Mytilus edulis: one gene and its partner. The protein of the gene in region 1 purifies or fractionates together with the protein of each later gene. This does not show direct contact. Links are inferred from orthologs where the notes say so. Each region holds a gene or a part of one and is shown on either strand. Other genes may lie near its edges. The genes, in order: exosome complex component RRP40-like and DIS3-like exonuclease 1.

What was found.
Region 2: the proteins of exosome complex component RRP40-like (region 1) and DIS3-like exonuclease 1 purify together in Homo sapiens (affinity purification with mass spectrometry; 6 studies listed by BioGRID and IntAct, counting the BioPlex papers as one, with this or other methods). This does not show direct contact. The link is inferred for Mytilus edulis from reciprocal best matches to the Homo sapiens genes EXOSC3 and DIS3L.

The regions. Positions count from the first base shown.
Region 1 is NC_092344.1:5,614,915-5,623,259, forward strand, and holds the start of exosome complex component RRP40-like, read right to left. Parts: upstream 3,726-8,345; coding exon 3,534-3,725; intron 1-3,533. Other genes in the region: histone-arginine methyltransferase CARMER-like, read left to right, coding at 3,957-4,089, 7,159-7,281, 7,846-7,946. UniProt on the Homo sapiens protein: Non-catalytic component of the RNA exosome complex which has 3'->5' exoribonuclease activity and participates in a multitude of cellular RNA processing and degradation events.
Region 2 is NC_092344.1:93,296,880-93,305,544, reverse strand, and holds the start of DIS3-like exonuclease 1, read right to left. Parts: upstream 3,745-8,665; 5' UTR 3,693-3,744; intron 2,314-3,692; 5' UTR 2,279-2,313; coding exon 2,116-2,278; intron 1,530-2,115; coding exon 1,396-1,529; intron 1-1,395. UniProt on the Homo sapiens protein: Catalytic component of the RNA exosome complex which has 3'->5' exoribonuclease activity and participates in a multitude of cellular RNA processing and degradation events.

The DNA of each region.
Region 1 (8,345 bases):
CCGTATCCTGCTTACACCATGTTATTGTAAGCAATTCTCATTTTTATGTTATTTCCTGTGTCCCGCTAGACTTCATTACCCATTTTCACGGCACAATAATTTGACTTTCATGTCAGGCTTACAAAAAAAACAGCAATCCTGTGTCACACCTAGACCCACAATGCAGACAAAAACTAACAGTATTATTTAAAATAATTTTTATAATTAATCATTTACTGCAAGTTTAGTGTTTCCAATCTGGCATCAGTAGAGGAAAAAAATTATGATCGACACACTTGGGTAGGCCTGCTACAGATGATTCCGTCAACAAAAGTAGGCATGTTATACACCATTATGTAGAAAAATCAAATTAGATTTACGACATAACAAGTTTTAGTAGGGTTGACCACTGAGGAATCAGCATGTAACAGAATTTCACGACCAGCTAACATTTTCCAAATTTGAGAGTTGAGTACCTTGTGTTATCAGGTTATATTAAAGTACATTGTATATAGGAAATACACCTTATCGCTATTCCCGCTTGACCCGAGAATCTGTCCCGCTTGAACTTTTGACGTCATACAACAATCTCTTTTCCATTGTGGCGTCAGATATTTTCTTTTATGACGTCAAAATTTTACGGGAAACTTGTGTGATGTCCAGTAATGGCGGACAAATAGCGATAAGGTGTATTTTTATCACAAGCAAACGCCTGTGCTCTTGACAAGTCGTCGTGTGAATATTATAATGTTATAAGTCCATTTTACAGTGGAAATGAGTTATGGGTGTCAATAGTTTCGTGCTGCAATGTTCTATCTCCCTATATATTTAACCAGGCTTAATTATCTTCAAATTTGCCTAAACAGTAGTATTAAAATGATATATCTCCAAATACAATGTTGTATTCAGAATTATAGTGATCTAAGTACAAACCAATGAAATTGACGGATTCTGGGTCACATGACAAAAGTTTACCAATGGAGATAGTATGAAATGAGGGCATTATAATTTAATAGGACTTTATGGCACTTTCATACATAAATATAGTCTTTACATGTTGTTAATATTATTGACAAAATATAGAAATTTTCAAATGGTCCAAGTGACAGCTTTTTAATGAATAATAGCAAAAAATATACATTTTGTTTAGCTGAAACATATACAGATCCCTTTCATATCATGTCATGAACTTAATGTCCAACTGTTATGATGATGTGCTAATTATGATTTGTTTATAAATCAGCATCCTATAAGGAGTAAAGGTCCCATTTTTGTAATTCTTTAGTTTTATATTCATAAAGTCATTGTCTAATTATTATGTGTCATTTTATTACTGTCCTTTTAGAAAAAGAATGTCCAATGACACTACATGTACATGCCCGCCAATGATCTGTATTTAAAATGACTAACAGTTTGTTCAGACACAGACCCATTACAGACTTAACCTTAAGATCATATCAAATTAATTTTTACATTCTTATCCCCATCCGTTCCAGCCAATTAGGTACCGTGGTTTATATTTTTTATGTATTTTTACAAAGTTCTTTGGAATCTGTAATAAAAATACGTAAAAATAAAATATAAGAGTCCAACTCAACCCAATATTTTCAATTTATTATAGGTGGATGAGAATCTATCAATTAACTTGATCTGGCCTTACCCTAACTTGGTCTTTAGCATTGACTTTTTATTACAAAAGACAAAGTCAATGAGTCTTGACTTATTACAACCCAAGCATCAACTTTGCATCAAACAGTCCACATCATAAGCTATCTATGTACAAAGCTGCTTGATGATATCATAACTCTTATATCAAAAACTTAAACCTGAAACTTAACCTGGTTTTTTAACATTGAAATTCTATTAAGAAAGACAAAGTCAACGTGAACCTTAACCTTGCAAGGACAGACGCATAGACAGAAGAACTATACGACCAGTTTGCCTTGCAGGCATAGCTATATAGTTCAAAGAAAACATAAGACACTATTTTAACCAACAAGATTGTGTATGGCCTTTGTTTCTACTGCCGATTTTATTCAATTTTAATGGCATATACATTGCCCAGTAATAATATTATAATGTTTTATGTCCAATACCATTTTAATTCTTTCAACTTTACTTATCACAAGATTAAAATGTACTATCTCCAAACTTGAAATATGAAATTGCCGAAATAATATATACATTATCAGATTTCTGAAAGGCACTGGCTACGGTTACATGGAAATGTAACAATAATAAAAATATTATTGTTACATTGGAGACTAAATGTCGGAATGCATGGTTGGGTAAGGACCTGTTTAATTACGAATGTAACAATAATTATTGAGGCTACGGTTACATTGCGTTATTGTTACATGAAAAACAGCAATGTACGATGGGACTAGTATTATGTACTAAATAATATAAGTTGAGGACATTAATTACATACATTTATAACATACAATTTATTTACTGTAATTTTTTTTATTTACAATGACAATTTCTACAAATCCAGTAAGTTGTTTTTAAAGTCCGACACATTTTTGATGAACGAAATTACGTCCTCCGCGGATACGTGTACATACAGAATTTCTTAGTATTTAAGTTACAGTTAGCAAACTTTGCTTTTGATTATCAATTTGCGTCAAGTTATAAAGCTGTATGAAATGTATGTCTTGATATTGTTTCAGTTTCGTTTAAAACGCATCCCAAGTTTTATATTTTTCACCTTAAACAAAATTGGTCCAAAGTATAATGACAGTAATAAGAGTAGGTGTGCAGTTAAATACTTTATAAAGTGAAACCATTGAACTATATGTTTCGCCTTTGACAGTCACACTCCTAATCTTGAGTAGTATCTTTAAGAACATCAAAACCATTAATACGTAGTAAAACTATTCAAGTTGTACACCATTTGTTGAATAATAATATTTTATTATTTATCAGTATTAAATTACAAGTATTGTTTAGTACATATGAAAGAATGAAGCAATACAACTATAGAAGATTTAAGTTTAATCAATCTAGCGTACATTGCTGTTTTTCATGTAACAATAACGTAATGTAACCGTAGCCTCAGTAATTATCGTTACATTTGTAATTAATCGGTTCCTCACCCAACTTTGCATTCCGGCAATTAGTCTCCAATGTAACAATAATATTTTTATTATTGTTACATTTTCATGTAACCGTAGCCAGTGCCTTTCTGAAAAGGACAATTTAATCAGATGTGTTGGAACTAGTATTACGCATACTTTTTGCATAGCTCTTGTTTTATATGACTGGATATCAGACTGTCCAACTTTAAATGCCATTTTCTCAGTTTTAAAAAAAGGGGACATAAAACATTATAATATTCACACCACGAAGTCTCTGTGAGAGGATTTTAAGGCACTATTTGTCAATTTTCCCAAGAACCTTAAAATTAAAAAATCTGAACCCTTCGCATTTTTCCAATTTAATTATGCTAGTAAACTTTGACAACAATAACACTTGATAGATCTTGATCATTTCCCTCTGTTTTTTTGTTTTTTTTTTAAGATAAGAGTTATCTCCCTTTGATAAGCATGTACCCGTTTTAGATGAGAGTCGATCCAATAAAAGTTTGGCTCTTTGAAGCGGAGTAAGCCGCATTTCGTGACAATTATAGATTCTTCATCTTGTCTTAATCCTGGTCCAACTAAAATTTTCGATGTTTTCTCTGATTCCTTCAAATTACAAATTAATTCGCCGGGCAAATACACATGTCCAGCATGGTCCACCATTTTAAACCTAAAGTCTATTTCCAGAAAGTTTGTTTACATGTAAAACATTACGATATTGTAGAAAATTTAAAAATAACATGAAAATTAAGCCAAATAAAACAATCGTACAACCATCTTTTTTGTCTATTTTGTAATTTTAAAGTAAGGTTAATTTTAATCTTTCGAATAAAAATGTGATTGAACTTTACGGATATGAACTTTAGGTAAGATTTGCCTCCGTTTGAATGAAAGATGGCGTCGTCTTATGACAACGTGCAAGTGTCCATCCTTTCGGACGACGAAAGATTTGTACATTTAACAGATGAACCCGTCAAACTTGAACTGGCACGACAAACAGATTGTGTAACATTAACATTGTTTAAAGGTATAACTTTTCTAAGCTTAGTACTAACGTATGAACAAGATTCTCATAATGAGTTATTTTTCATTGTTCGAAAATCCATGTCATATCGGTCGCATTTACGTTGAAATAGCGAAGCATTAATAAATCGTTTACGTTGAAATAATGCGGCATCACTGATTGGAACTTTTCAATAAGAAGACCTTATTCATGGATTATAGTAGATCGTTTTTTTCTTAAGATGCAACTGATAAAAAAGGTGTTGATTATTTTATGACGTCTTAGAATAAAAACGTTATTTTTTATGTTTGATTTTGCCTATTTTCCTGTCTATATTAATAATTTACTTGAAGTCTGAAGGGAACTAGGTCTTGATTGAGGGGAACTTGTTTATTGTATGCAGGAGTTCACAAATATTGTTTACCAGGAAGCACCACCGTAACCTTTAACCTTACACATTTTTAGGTTCGATCGCTCTAATTAGTAAATACATGTTCACCCTTGGTTAGTTCGCCCCGAGTTCATTTGCCTACAGAGTCTATGGGCCCTGCCTTTGGCTAACACATAGAAATTGACCAATATAATTATTTGGGGGACACAATGTTTACAATTTTTCTGCATGCGCATATGAATCAAATATTGAATTTAGAAAATAAAAATAGGTAATACATATACCTTGGAGAAATGAATTTCTGACATAGTTATACACAAACCAAATATTTCAACTTACCTGGCAGACAACTATGTGATGGCAGTGTTCTCCCCAGGCCGATGGGACGCTGTGGTGCGGCAGCGCCTTCGTAATATTTTTGTAGATTGCAGCGTCTTAATTGGCCGTTGTCCCTTAATATTTGATTCCCTGAGCCACGCTTATCTCGGCCTTATCGGACTATGTTATCATGTACTAGCGTAAATGATCATCAAGAAGAAATGTATTTGTAGAAGAAAATTTAAAATTTAAAAACTTCAGTGCAGAAATTGAAGAAATAGATGGCAAATACATTGTATTTACGCATCATGTGTGTGATCACTTGACCATTTGAATAACGGATTTTTTCATTGGTCGAGAAGAAGAATCTATTTAAACACGACCAATGAACGTGCTGATAACACGTGACAAATTTGAATACACATTGCTAAAGATATTTACGATGAAAATTATGAATGAGAGTATTTGTAGTTGAAAAAGTTAAAATAAACTTTAATTAAGGTTACGATTTCAGAGACCCGTCGGTCATGGGACCGATAAAGCAAGATTATTTGTCAGTCCTACAAAATTTTAGCCAGTCCTAAAATAAAAATAATAACATATTTTATCTAAAATAACTTTATTATTGTTAGTTTGATTTTTCACAGCCACCGGCAAATAAACAATGAATAACTGATTCTTTTCTTCTGATTGGTCTTATTTAAAGTCATCTTTACTATCCATTTCATCATCTGAATCAATTTCTCAGTATTTGTTATCTCCATTAAAGGGTTCAATCATCGATTGTTTGCCTGGGATGGCTTAATGAACAAATTTAGCAAGCCACATGTAGATCGGTGCTTTGGTTTCCGTAGGTTTCCGTTTGTTTATAACAGGAAACCAGTACCGGAAATTACCAGCAGGTACATCTGATGACCGAGGTAAATACGTATTGCGGTACAACTAATTACTGATAAAAAAGACACTGCAACGGTCATTTTTACATCGGTCATCAGGACCGGCACTAGCTTTCAAAATACTGGTCTGGGCCTCATTTTGACCGACAGGACTGACCATTTTCGTGAACTCTGCGATTTATTTTAATAGAAAATGAAAAAATGTTGCTTGCAAGGTAAATTAGTTTCAAACTTGTGTTTTTAGAAATAAAATGATCATTGAACATCGATCGTAAAACCGTACGTTGGGAAATATGTGACAATCAACACGGGTAAGGACTCGCTGCAGCTTCTGTATAATGTCACTAGTAAATAATTTCAATGCTCTTAACTTTATCGAGTTTGTAAAGTTTCGATTATATCTACCTGCCAAAGATAGGTTTTAACAATAATACACATGGAAGCGTAATGTCAAACTACGGAAACTGGTCAGCTGTAGCCTGTTCATTAAAATATATTTGTTTTAAAAAGTTGTATACCAAATATCTAAACCATATTCGATTTTATTTATTCTGAATGAACATGTTCTCTGCAAATAATAAAGGTGTGACTTCTAAGCTAAAGGCAGATGATGGAAGTAGTAGTTTATTTTAGCCCAATGACTTCTAATGAAAGGGGGAATACACCTTCCTGTACACTGTCAGTATAAGCAGATGTCATTGCTTCTCCTAATCCCAACCAAGCTAAAGTTTTAGCAAGTGATAACAGCAAGCACCATGTTTCTGGTTCTAATGACAAGTGGCTGACTGAGTTATTCATGGCTTTTAAATGTTAAAGGGAGTATAATCAAAAGTTATTGTAAGAGGGGGTTTTCAACCCTAAAGAGGATAGGGACAAAATTGAGGAACAGACTGTCAAACAAATAACACTATTCTTGAAACAATATAATCCCTAGAAGGAGCAGAGAGTACAGAGATGAATATTTATATTTTGACTTCTTTAATTGACTGAATATGAATAACTTTTGTGTTTAAAATCAATTTATTTCATATATCTTGTAATACATTAATACTCTGCATTATTAAACACACAACACTGGATGGGTTTCACTTGCCCGCAGCAGATTGTACTTGCGATGGGCAAGTGGGATGGCGCTTATTTGGAACCCTGGACTATCTTAGGGCAAATGTTGAACATATCAAAGAAAACATTGACAATGGGAAATTTTCTTATGAATGCTTTAAAGGTGCCTGCCTCTTGGACCTGTTTTACTGGACTAAAAGGGCCACAAAAATATTATATGTGTGTTACTTGCCTCCTGACAATAAATAAGTGTAGGACTTGAAAGAGGAAAACCAAAAATCCATTACATTTGGAGGTGGGAAACAAAAAATATATTTAGGCAGAGGAAGTTTATATTTGATGTAAACAATCTTTTGTCTGTTTTATGTTTTAGCTCAGATTTTTTTCCCTTTGAGCATTATTATTGCATTTAATTCTATTTTATAGGAGGAAACAAATTTCATGTAATTACGATAACATCAAGTACAGAATACTCTCGATATGGAAAGCAGGGCTTTATTTTTACAAATGAAGACAAGAGTTCATTGGTCAGATTTCCATCTATACATGGTAAGTACATGTAGTTATGTTTTTAAATGAATACATTTCATTGAAACAGGTATTAGTAATTTTAAAGGAACGTTTCATACTTGTTTTATTTTATTACTTGTGTATGATAGGAGAAAGGATTGTTTTTCAGTCTGAGTCAGAGTGTCAGGTAAAAGTTTGGTTTCATGTACATGTATTTTGATATTAGATTAGGAATTGTGGTCACATCAGCTTGAAACTTAGTACACATGTTTGTGATAATGTGAACTTAAATTGTATGCCAAATTTGTTTTTATGGTTCACAGAAAATGGAAATATGATAGTATGAGCTTGGCATCTTGTTGCATGTACATGACTATTTAATTACGGTCATCTTATCTATGTATTATTTATTAAATATAAATTCTTCATTATGAGTAATATTAAAGATAATGGTTGACAGCATCAACTTTCAGTGAAGAAGAAAACACCAAACATGTACGTGGAAGTAATGCATAATAAAATATTCAAAGAACACTAATATTTTTAAAATTATTAAGATCTATTCTTTTATTATAGATTAATATTGTTACTCTTTTATTTCAGCCATGAAACAGTTTCAGTTTCAATTTAAACAAATGAGGAGTGTATTAAAATCGGTATTTACAGAAAGAACAGAAGAAGCATCTGCTGTTCAATACTTTCAGGTTTGTATATAAAAAAAAGGAAGATGTGGTATGATTGCCAATAAGACAATCCTCCACAAGAGACAAAATGAGACAGAAATTTTACAACTTTACTTTAGTATTATGCCAAGATACATGTAGAGCAAACTATTCACAGGGACGCTGTGCGTCGCCAATGTTGCAATTTGCGATTTTTTTTTATTCATCTGGCGACAAAATACGGCTGCTGGCGATATTTCTGGCGCCAACATTTTCTTATGTAAAAATTTTCATTTATCTTCATTTTAATTGGTAAAAGTTAAAAAAAAGTTAAAAGTCGGAGAAAATGTTAAGTATTGCAGATTATTTTTTTATACAAATTTTCACTATTCTGTAAAGTTAAACACCTCTTATTTTGTTTTCATCATTCAGTTACCGATT
Region 2 (8,665 bases), about 88 Mb from region 1:
TGAAAATCTGCAATTTCAATAACACATTCGGACACAAACATGATGGAAGTCTCACATATAAAAAATCAGCTCAAAATGTGGAAGCGTATAGAAAAAAGTCTGTATAACTGTGATTTTCAACAATTTTCAAAGTTGTAAACCCTTAATTTTACCAAATAAACTTGATCTGTAACTCATCATGAATAACTAACATACCAAAAATCAGCCCAATATCTGAAAGCGTTTACAAAAAAAGTCTTTTACAACTGTGATTTTTAACAATTCCATAGCCCGTAATTGCTGTAAAAATTAGCCGAGCGGAACAAAACTTAGACTTGATTTGTAACTCATCTTTGTTTAACTCACATGCCAAAAATCATCCCAACATCTGAAAGAGTTTAGAAAAAAGTCTATATAACTGTGATTTTCAACAATTTATCAAAGTCCAAAGCCCGTAATTTCGGCAAAAATTAGCGGAGCGGAACGAAACTTTAACTTAATCTGTAACTCATCATGGTTAACTCACATATCAAAAATCAGCCCAATATCTGAAGGCGTTTAGAAAAAAACCTCTGTATAATGGTTTGTTGCAGAATGACGGAATTACAGAATTTCGGAATTACGGAATTTCAGAATTACAGAATTACGTAATTTCGGAATTACGAACAAGGGTAAAACTGTATGGCACCGACAACTTCCTTACAGGGCCATAAAAATGTAAATGTCTTGAAATACTAGCATTGTTATCATGATGTGTAATAATGAAAGTAATACCCAAGACAAGGTAGGTGTTTTTAAGGAGATTTTGGGTAAAAGTCAATGAAACAACAATCAAACATCACAATCAAAATTCAAGACAGATAAAGATATTGGAAGTCCATTTTATACAAAGTATAAGATTGATCAGAAGAATATTTTTGGACAAAAAAGGTACAAAATCTGTAAATCTGAATTCCTTGAATGTCATAAATGTGTATTGAAACAAATGCAATTTCACAAACAAGTCTTTGTACAATTTGGAAATTAGTATGGCGTTCATTATCACTGGACTAGTATATATTTGTTTAGGGGCCAGCTGAAGGACGCCTCCGGGTGCGGGAGTTTCTCGCTACATTGAAGACCTGTTGGTGACCCTCTGCTGTTGTTTTTTATTTGGTCGGGTTGTTGTCTCTTTGACACATTCCCCATTTCCATTCTCAATTTTATTTATATGATCAATGAAAGTATATCAATGATGCTTGTATAGTCAAACAAAAAAACTGCACAAATAACATAGTTACAGTATAAAATAAATTACAGTATGAGAAAAAGAGCGTTTGTAAACAAAGAGCTTAAACATTGATTACCATTTATTTCAAACAAATGCTAAAGAATTGTCAAAGTTCAATTATTTTCAAAAAATATTTCTAAACTTACACAGTGTTCAGCTGTCTGTGTAAAGATTATTCCATGAATTTCTGGTGCTTCAAAAACTTCAAGGTATTCTCTGGCAACTTGACAATCTGGGATTATATAGTGTGTCACGTTTGAAGGTAGCAAATCAGAGTCATCTGCAAAGAGTTCCCAGTTTTGTTTACATTAATAGCATGATTAATATTAAACTAAATATGATTATAGGTTTTAATCAAGTATCAAATTCTTTTAAGTTTTAGGTACTTAAATCTGTTTGAAGACCATACCAGGCTGCATTGCCATTTCCCAATAAAATAATATCTACAGAGATTTTTTAAAGTGTAACATAAATATAAAAAAAATTCTATGCAGAATATGACTACATGCATGACATGTAAAGCAACTATATATATATATATATGCTTAAGACAATACAATATGAAACAGCAAAAGTATCAATCAATTTTCAGTATTCACCATGCAAAACTTTATCCAAGATTATGCAATTCAATTAAAATAATGAAAAGTAGAGACAAAAAAACCCTTCATTTTAGCTGTAAGACACAATAGTGGTACATGTGTACTAATAAATCTTATCAGGCAATAAAGAAGCAACATACAAAACCACAATCTCATTTTATTTTTATAATCACAGTTTGTCTGAAAAGATTTACATATATGTAAGATATTTTCATCTCCCTCATCAATACCTTTGATTTGTTTACCATTTATTTAAAATCTCACCTATTCCCACATTGCAATTTCCAAGACATAAACTACTCTGACATGGTATATTTTCTCTCCTATAGACTTCTCTTACAATACTGACACTCTTCCCCTGGCTGTTCTTCAACCTCAAATAACGATTGTCTTTATCTAGAGACTCTGCTTTATTTTCTATGACCATTTTTAGGCTGTCTACATTATCAAATTAACTTTATCCTGAAGAACAAAAATAAAATATGAAAAACCTTTTATTATTTAGAACTATCTTGTTGACCTGAAATTCATTTGTTCAGGATAATCATTGTTAGCTGAGATAATCTTTTATTTCAAAATACCCTTGAACATTGAATTATTTCATGATGTGACAAAAGGATAATTCAAAATCGAAGAAACCAAGAAAATTTGATGTCACAATTAAGTTATGTAATGACCAATCAATTGCAGAGAACAGATATTTCACTAGTGAGGAGAAATATTTTTCTCACACTGCTCAAGAAATGTGAAAAAAGCATGAAAAATAGAGAAATCAAATTGCTTCAAAGCACTGAACCGTAAAGATTGCTTTAATTTATCAGTGGGAAGTAAAAATAAATATTGCATTGGTTGTTGTTGATTTAAAACAGCTATTCTAGACAAAGGAAGATGACTCCAATTTTTAAAGATGATGTTAACAATGACATAATTTATATTTTTAGAACAGATTTTAGATTCCTGCACCTTGCAAACGTTATGTAATTTTCTTGACAAGTGAAACATCATTTTGTGTCTTGAATATCTGAGCATATATCTCGTGGATAAATTTCTGGAAATGTTCATGATTTATAGTATTTATAGAATGTTATGGTTAATGCACTATATTTTGTGTACATGTATCAAAAAAAGCAGTCTTCACGCTGAGTGGCAGCCCAGGGCCTGTAGATTTAGCAGTTCATCGTGAAGACTGAAAAAGTGATCAATTTTGGAACATTTAGATATCAAGTCAGTCCCATATTATGCAATTTTTACCTTAAAACAATAGATCAAAGGAAAATGCTGTCAAATATGTATGAAAACATGTGAGTCACATTTGTGAGTCTTACGCTAACTGTATGAGACTTGATGTATCTGTTTTTCTTTATTGTTGTCTTGTCAATAATTGGGCATTTGGTTTCCTTGTCTTACATGTACATGTCTTATGATATGCTTAGAGCTTTTGATAAAAATGGAGGTTGTATGGCAGCACACATGTACATGTACAGTGATCTACAGTTCATGTGGACTCTGGTGGATAGTTGTCTCAGAGCCAGAGGCAATCATCTCGTGAACATCTCCTTCTTTTCAGTTTAACCATAGCAAGTTAGATGATAGTATAATATAGGCGTATCAATTTGTGAAGCATATAATTTCAGATATGGTTACTTTTAAGTACTGGCACTTGTTTGTTTTCTTAAGATTTTAAAGGGCCAAAAGTAAAGAGGGTCTTTACCATCACATGAAACAAGTGCCTGTGCTTTTGTCTTGAACCTGAAACTAAAGAATCAAATAGTTCACTTTAGTTGTTTAACCTCCTCCTTCTGGTTAATACTACAATGCATATGCAATATGACTATACTCACTTTAAAAAAAAAAACTTTGGGGTACATTTTGTGCATAGGGGACAGAAATGTCAGTTTTGTTTTGTTAATACAAGATTTGTTGCGCGGATGTTTACTCCTTCACGGGAGCACTCTATTCGAAGAAACCAAAGTGGTATTTAATCATGAAATTGATATTAGGGACCAGTAATTATTTATCTTCAGTGGGGCGGCAAAAAAGTAGTGGGTAATGAGAAAATTAGATCTGATAAAGGGGGGTCATTCTTTTTCAGGTTGCTCAAGTAAGGGGGGGGGGGGGGGTCATAATTTGTTTGGCCATATATGCATTGATCGCCATATACCATGACCATAGACTATTAATGAATAGTTGTTTGGGCCCTTTAGAGCTAACTTGTCTAGTTTAACTCTTTCACAAATGTCAAACTGTCACTATCAGTAAAACTAGTCACTTTACTTTACTATTTTACTTTACTCTTTGACGGAGCTAGTTATATTGTCAAGTGACTAATAAATATTGCCAAAAAATGTGCAAAATTAGTCAATTTTCTTATATTTTTCTGAGATGTTATAGGACTAAGAAACTAGGAATAGAGACTACAAAATTGGTTTCATAATCCTGGTTTCACCACAGCAAACATAGACTTTGCTTTTTTGAAGGGGACCCCATTTTTATGTTTCAAGATGAACTCGTATATTTTACAAACTGTTGTTTTAGGTGAACACAAAATATTCTATATAGACTTTTTCAAAGCATTTTCTTCTTATTCTTATTCCGTATCTCAAATATACCTCATGTAGAATATAAATAAATATATGAATGATTTGTTCATTGTCGAAGACCCTCCGTCTTCTACCAGAGTGGAAGGCAACAGTTTTGAAATGAATCACTTAATTTATACAAGAAATTATTGAAAGACCAGGACTGGCTTCATTTCAGCTGGGAACAGTATATATATGTTCCTGATTTCAGCATCTCTAATTTTGAATAAGACATCTGACATTCTATATGAATACAATTAAAAGTAATGCTCAGTATATCAAACAAAGTTCAAATTTTTACTCTTTAAAACTGTAAATGACAAAATCATAATCAAATACTAGTAAACAACTTAAACTCCAATTAGTGTTGAGTTTGACGAGATGGTGCATATGTAGTAAAGAGAGGAGGGTTTAACTTTTTTAACACATTTTGAAAAGGGGCAATCATATTTTATCCTTTCAAATTTAATTACATTTTGCCGCCCCCTCCCCCTGGAGATAAATAATGACCGGTCCCTTATGTAGGTGTGATAATGAAAAAAAAAAAAAAAAATGAAAGCAACACGCTTAATAATTTCTTGCGTCCGAAGCGCTTTTCTGGATTTACCTTCATCAGAAACGCTCAAAGTCAAACATTTGAAATCCGAAGATGTACAAGTAACGAAACCGTTGAAGAGCTATATGTCAAAATTACCTAAAATAAATAGCCAATTCATCTAAAGCAAACTTTGCCTGAGGGATTTGAAACCTTAATTTCTTAAGAATTTCAAAATTTATAAACGGACAATTTTAGTAAAGTTCATTGGCGGATCCAGGGGGAGGGGGGTGTCCGGGGGTTGGAACCCCTCTTTTTTGGACGATCAATGCATTTGAATGGGAGCATATAGTTGGAACCCCTCCTTTACTCTGGGTTGGGAACCCCCCTACCCCCCTTTTTAAAATGGCTGGATCCGCCACTGAAGTTTGTTCAATCATGTCAGTACCGAAATTATAGACAGTTCTCATATTTAAAAGATTTTTTTTTATATCTAAAAGTGTTAATGAACTTTGCATGTTAAGCCCCTTGTTCAGGGCTATCGGAGAAGATGCAAAGTAGCACAACATTATTAGCTCACCTGTCAGCTTAAATTCTCATTACTTGGCGTCCGTCGTCTGTCGTCCGTCGTCTTCCGTCGTCCGTCGTCCTCCGTCACTTTTACAAAAATCGAACTGCTATAGGCCAAGTTAAACCAAACTTGGCCACAATCATCATATGGTCGATTTGTCCGATGTCGCCGACAGATAATCAAGATGGCCGACATGGCTAAAAATAGAACAACAGGGATAAAATGCAATTTATCTTGCTTATTTTTTTGAAAACAGATATGAATAGAGAAAATCTGAAGAGGTCATAAATGTTTAGAACGTTGGGCTCTACATTCTATTTATTTGTGTCAAAACTGTCAGACGAATTCTTGTCATGTTGTAGGAAGTATCGCCTTTAGATGATGAATTTGTTTTATTTTTTTTTGGCTATTATCTCGAAAATTGCAATAGATCGATATAGACAGGCACTTTGAAAAACAAAAATGATCAGCAAGACAAGACTTACAAATAATTCAACACGGCCAAAATATATAAGTCACTCCTTATTAGAGGATTGTCCTATAATGACGACTTTACACATTTTTTGTTTTGTGTTTTTGCATAATATCTTAAAAACAATATCAAATAGATAAATACTTTAAATAGCAAAAATTATCAGCAGTAATAGATCTGTAGATAAGTCAACATGACCCCAATTGATAGTCGTTTCTCTATTTGAATTATTGACCTTTAAAAATGATTTTCTAATTTTTGCCTATTATCTTGAAAACTGTATTAGATAGATAGAAACATTGAATAAGACAAATGATCAGCAAGACAGGATCCACAAATAATTAAGCCATAATTTTATAGCCGAAGTCATCCGTCGACTCATCAATGGAGTTATTGTCCTTTTATGATAATTTTGTTTGTATTTTTTGCGTATTATCTTGAAATCTATAATAGGATAATCAAAACTTTATATCAGAAAATTACCAGCTGGATAAGGTTGACAGATATGTCAACATGAGCAGAAGAACCTTTATAAATTCATTTCCATTTTATGTTTGCTTTTGTATGCTTTGATTTGTTTATGATTTACCGTGCTTTCATAACAGTATAGATCATAATCTTATGCTTGCTGTGCTTTTATTACAGTATAGATCATTAAGTTATGCTTGCTGTGCTTTCTGTTTTTTTATGTCTGCCCTGTGTTTATTATATGTATGCCTGTTTAAAAATAAATCTTGAGGATACAGAGCTTACTATTTTGTACTGTTATATTCATACCAGACTTTAAATGAATCTTTTGTGTATATGAGGCAAGGGTTATAATCGAAAACTTAGACGTTTCTTCATTTTTATAACTCGTGATCGGACTTTTAAATTTAAGTGGGCTATCACTCAAAGTTGCGAATAGCGAGCTCAAATCATATTTACATCGAGTATTCATTTAAAAGTAATAAGTAAAATAATAAAAATACTGAACTCTGAACACGAAAAATTCAAAACGGAAAGTCCATGTTCAAATGTCAAAATCAAAAGATCAAACACATCAATCGAATAGACAACAACTGTCATATTCCTGACTTAGTACAGGCATTTTCTTAAGTAGAAAATGGTGGATTAAACCTGATTTTATATCTAGCTAAACCTCTCGTTTGTATGATAGTCGCATTCCATTCCACTATGTTGTCAACGATGTGTGAACAAAACAAACAGACATAATTAAGGTAGCACAATACACAGATTTTATACCTCCAATTCACCAGTTTTAAAATGCTGTAACTTTCTTTATAATGGTTGGAAATTTATAAAAGTGGTATTTATGAATAGCTAACAGATTAGTCTTTCAAATTAATGCATTTGTTAGTATTATACAACAATTATGTAATCAATTATAATGTTAACTGTGTCTACAAAATGTTACAAGAAATTTCCACTTTCAATTGAAATTAGCTTCTTCATGGATATCCCGGGAGGGTTGATTTTATCATATGTTGTTCCTAGAGCCATTATCTAAAAAAGAGTGTCTCAGATTTTGGATAGAATGTATAGATCACATTTTACACCTAATCAAATATTATCTACTTTTATGTGGTAAGGATGATTACACTAATTAGAGATTTATGAGAGAATGGAATATTTTAGCCATAATTTGAAACACCCTTTTGTAGCTCCTGTTGTTTTGATTAAGATTTCGTTAAAATTTCCTGAATAGTTATAGAGATGATAGAGCTAAATTCATTCAAGTAAACTGACCAAGATTTTGCCATTAATTGTATAATAATTGATTACATATTGATTGCATAACAAAAATATTGCATTTCTTTTTAACGATTAACCTTTTTCTGTCTATATATATACCTCCTTTATTAATTTATATGCAGTCTTTAGAAAGTAACAGCATTTTAAAGGTTGGAGATTGGACGTAAAAAAATCTTTGTATTGTGCTACATTGATAGGTGAAAATATCAAAAATAGGGGTACAGCAGTCAACGTTTTCTTGTTAAAACAAGAATGTGTCCTAAGTAAACGGAGGCCCCATCCGAACTATCATTTTCTATGTTCATTGGACCGTGAAAATGGGGTAAAACCTCTAATTTGGCATTAAAATTAGAAAGATCATATCATAAGGAACAGGTGTACTAAGTTTCAAGTTGATTGGACTTCAACTTCATCAAAAACTACCTCGACCAAAAACTTTAACCTGAAGTGGGACGAACGGACGGACAGACGGACGGACGAACGAACAGACGGAAGCACAGATCAGAAAACATAATGCCCATAAATGGGGCATAAAAATGAATTTCTATCGGTTTCTCTTCTTTTTTTCAAACTTGAGCTGGACAGTTATTTAAATCAATGATTTTCCTACAAATAAATTGTTTTTCCTTCTTTCCAAGCACTATTCATACTTTTTTTTTATATGACAAGCCTGTGAACATGGAATCTTTAATCGGTTATTGATAAGTGTTCTCAACATTTTAATTCAAGGGAAAAAAAAATACTTTACGGACAAAATTTTTTTTGTCTGGCCGTTCTGTCTGTTCTTCATGTTATCCATTTTTAATACTATGTTATGACCAATATTACTCTCTCGTCCTTATCTATGAGTGTTGCTTTTGTTACTTGAACGAAACTTAATTATTACTCTTTTGCATATCAAA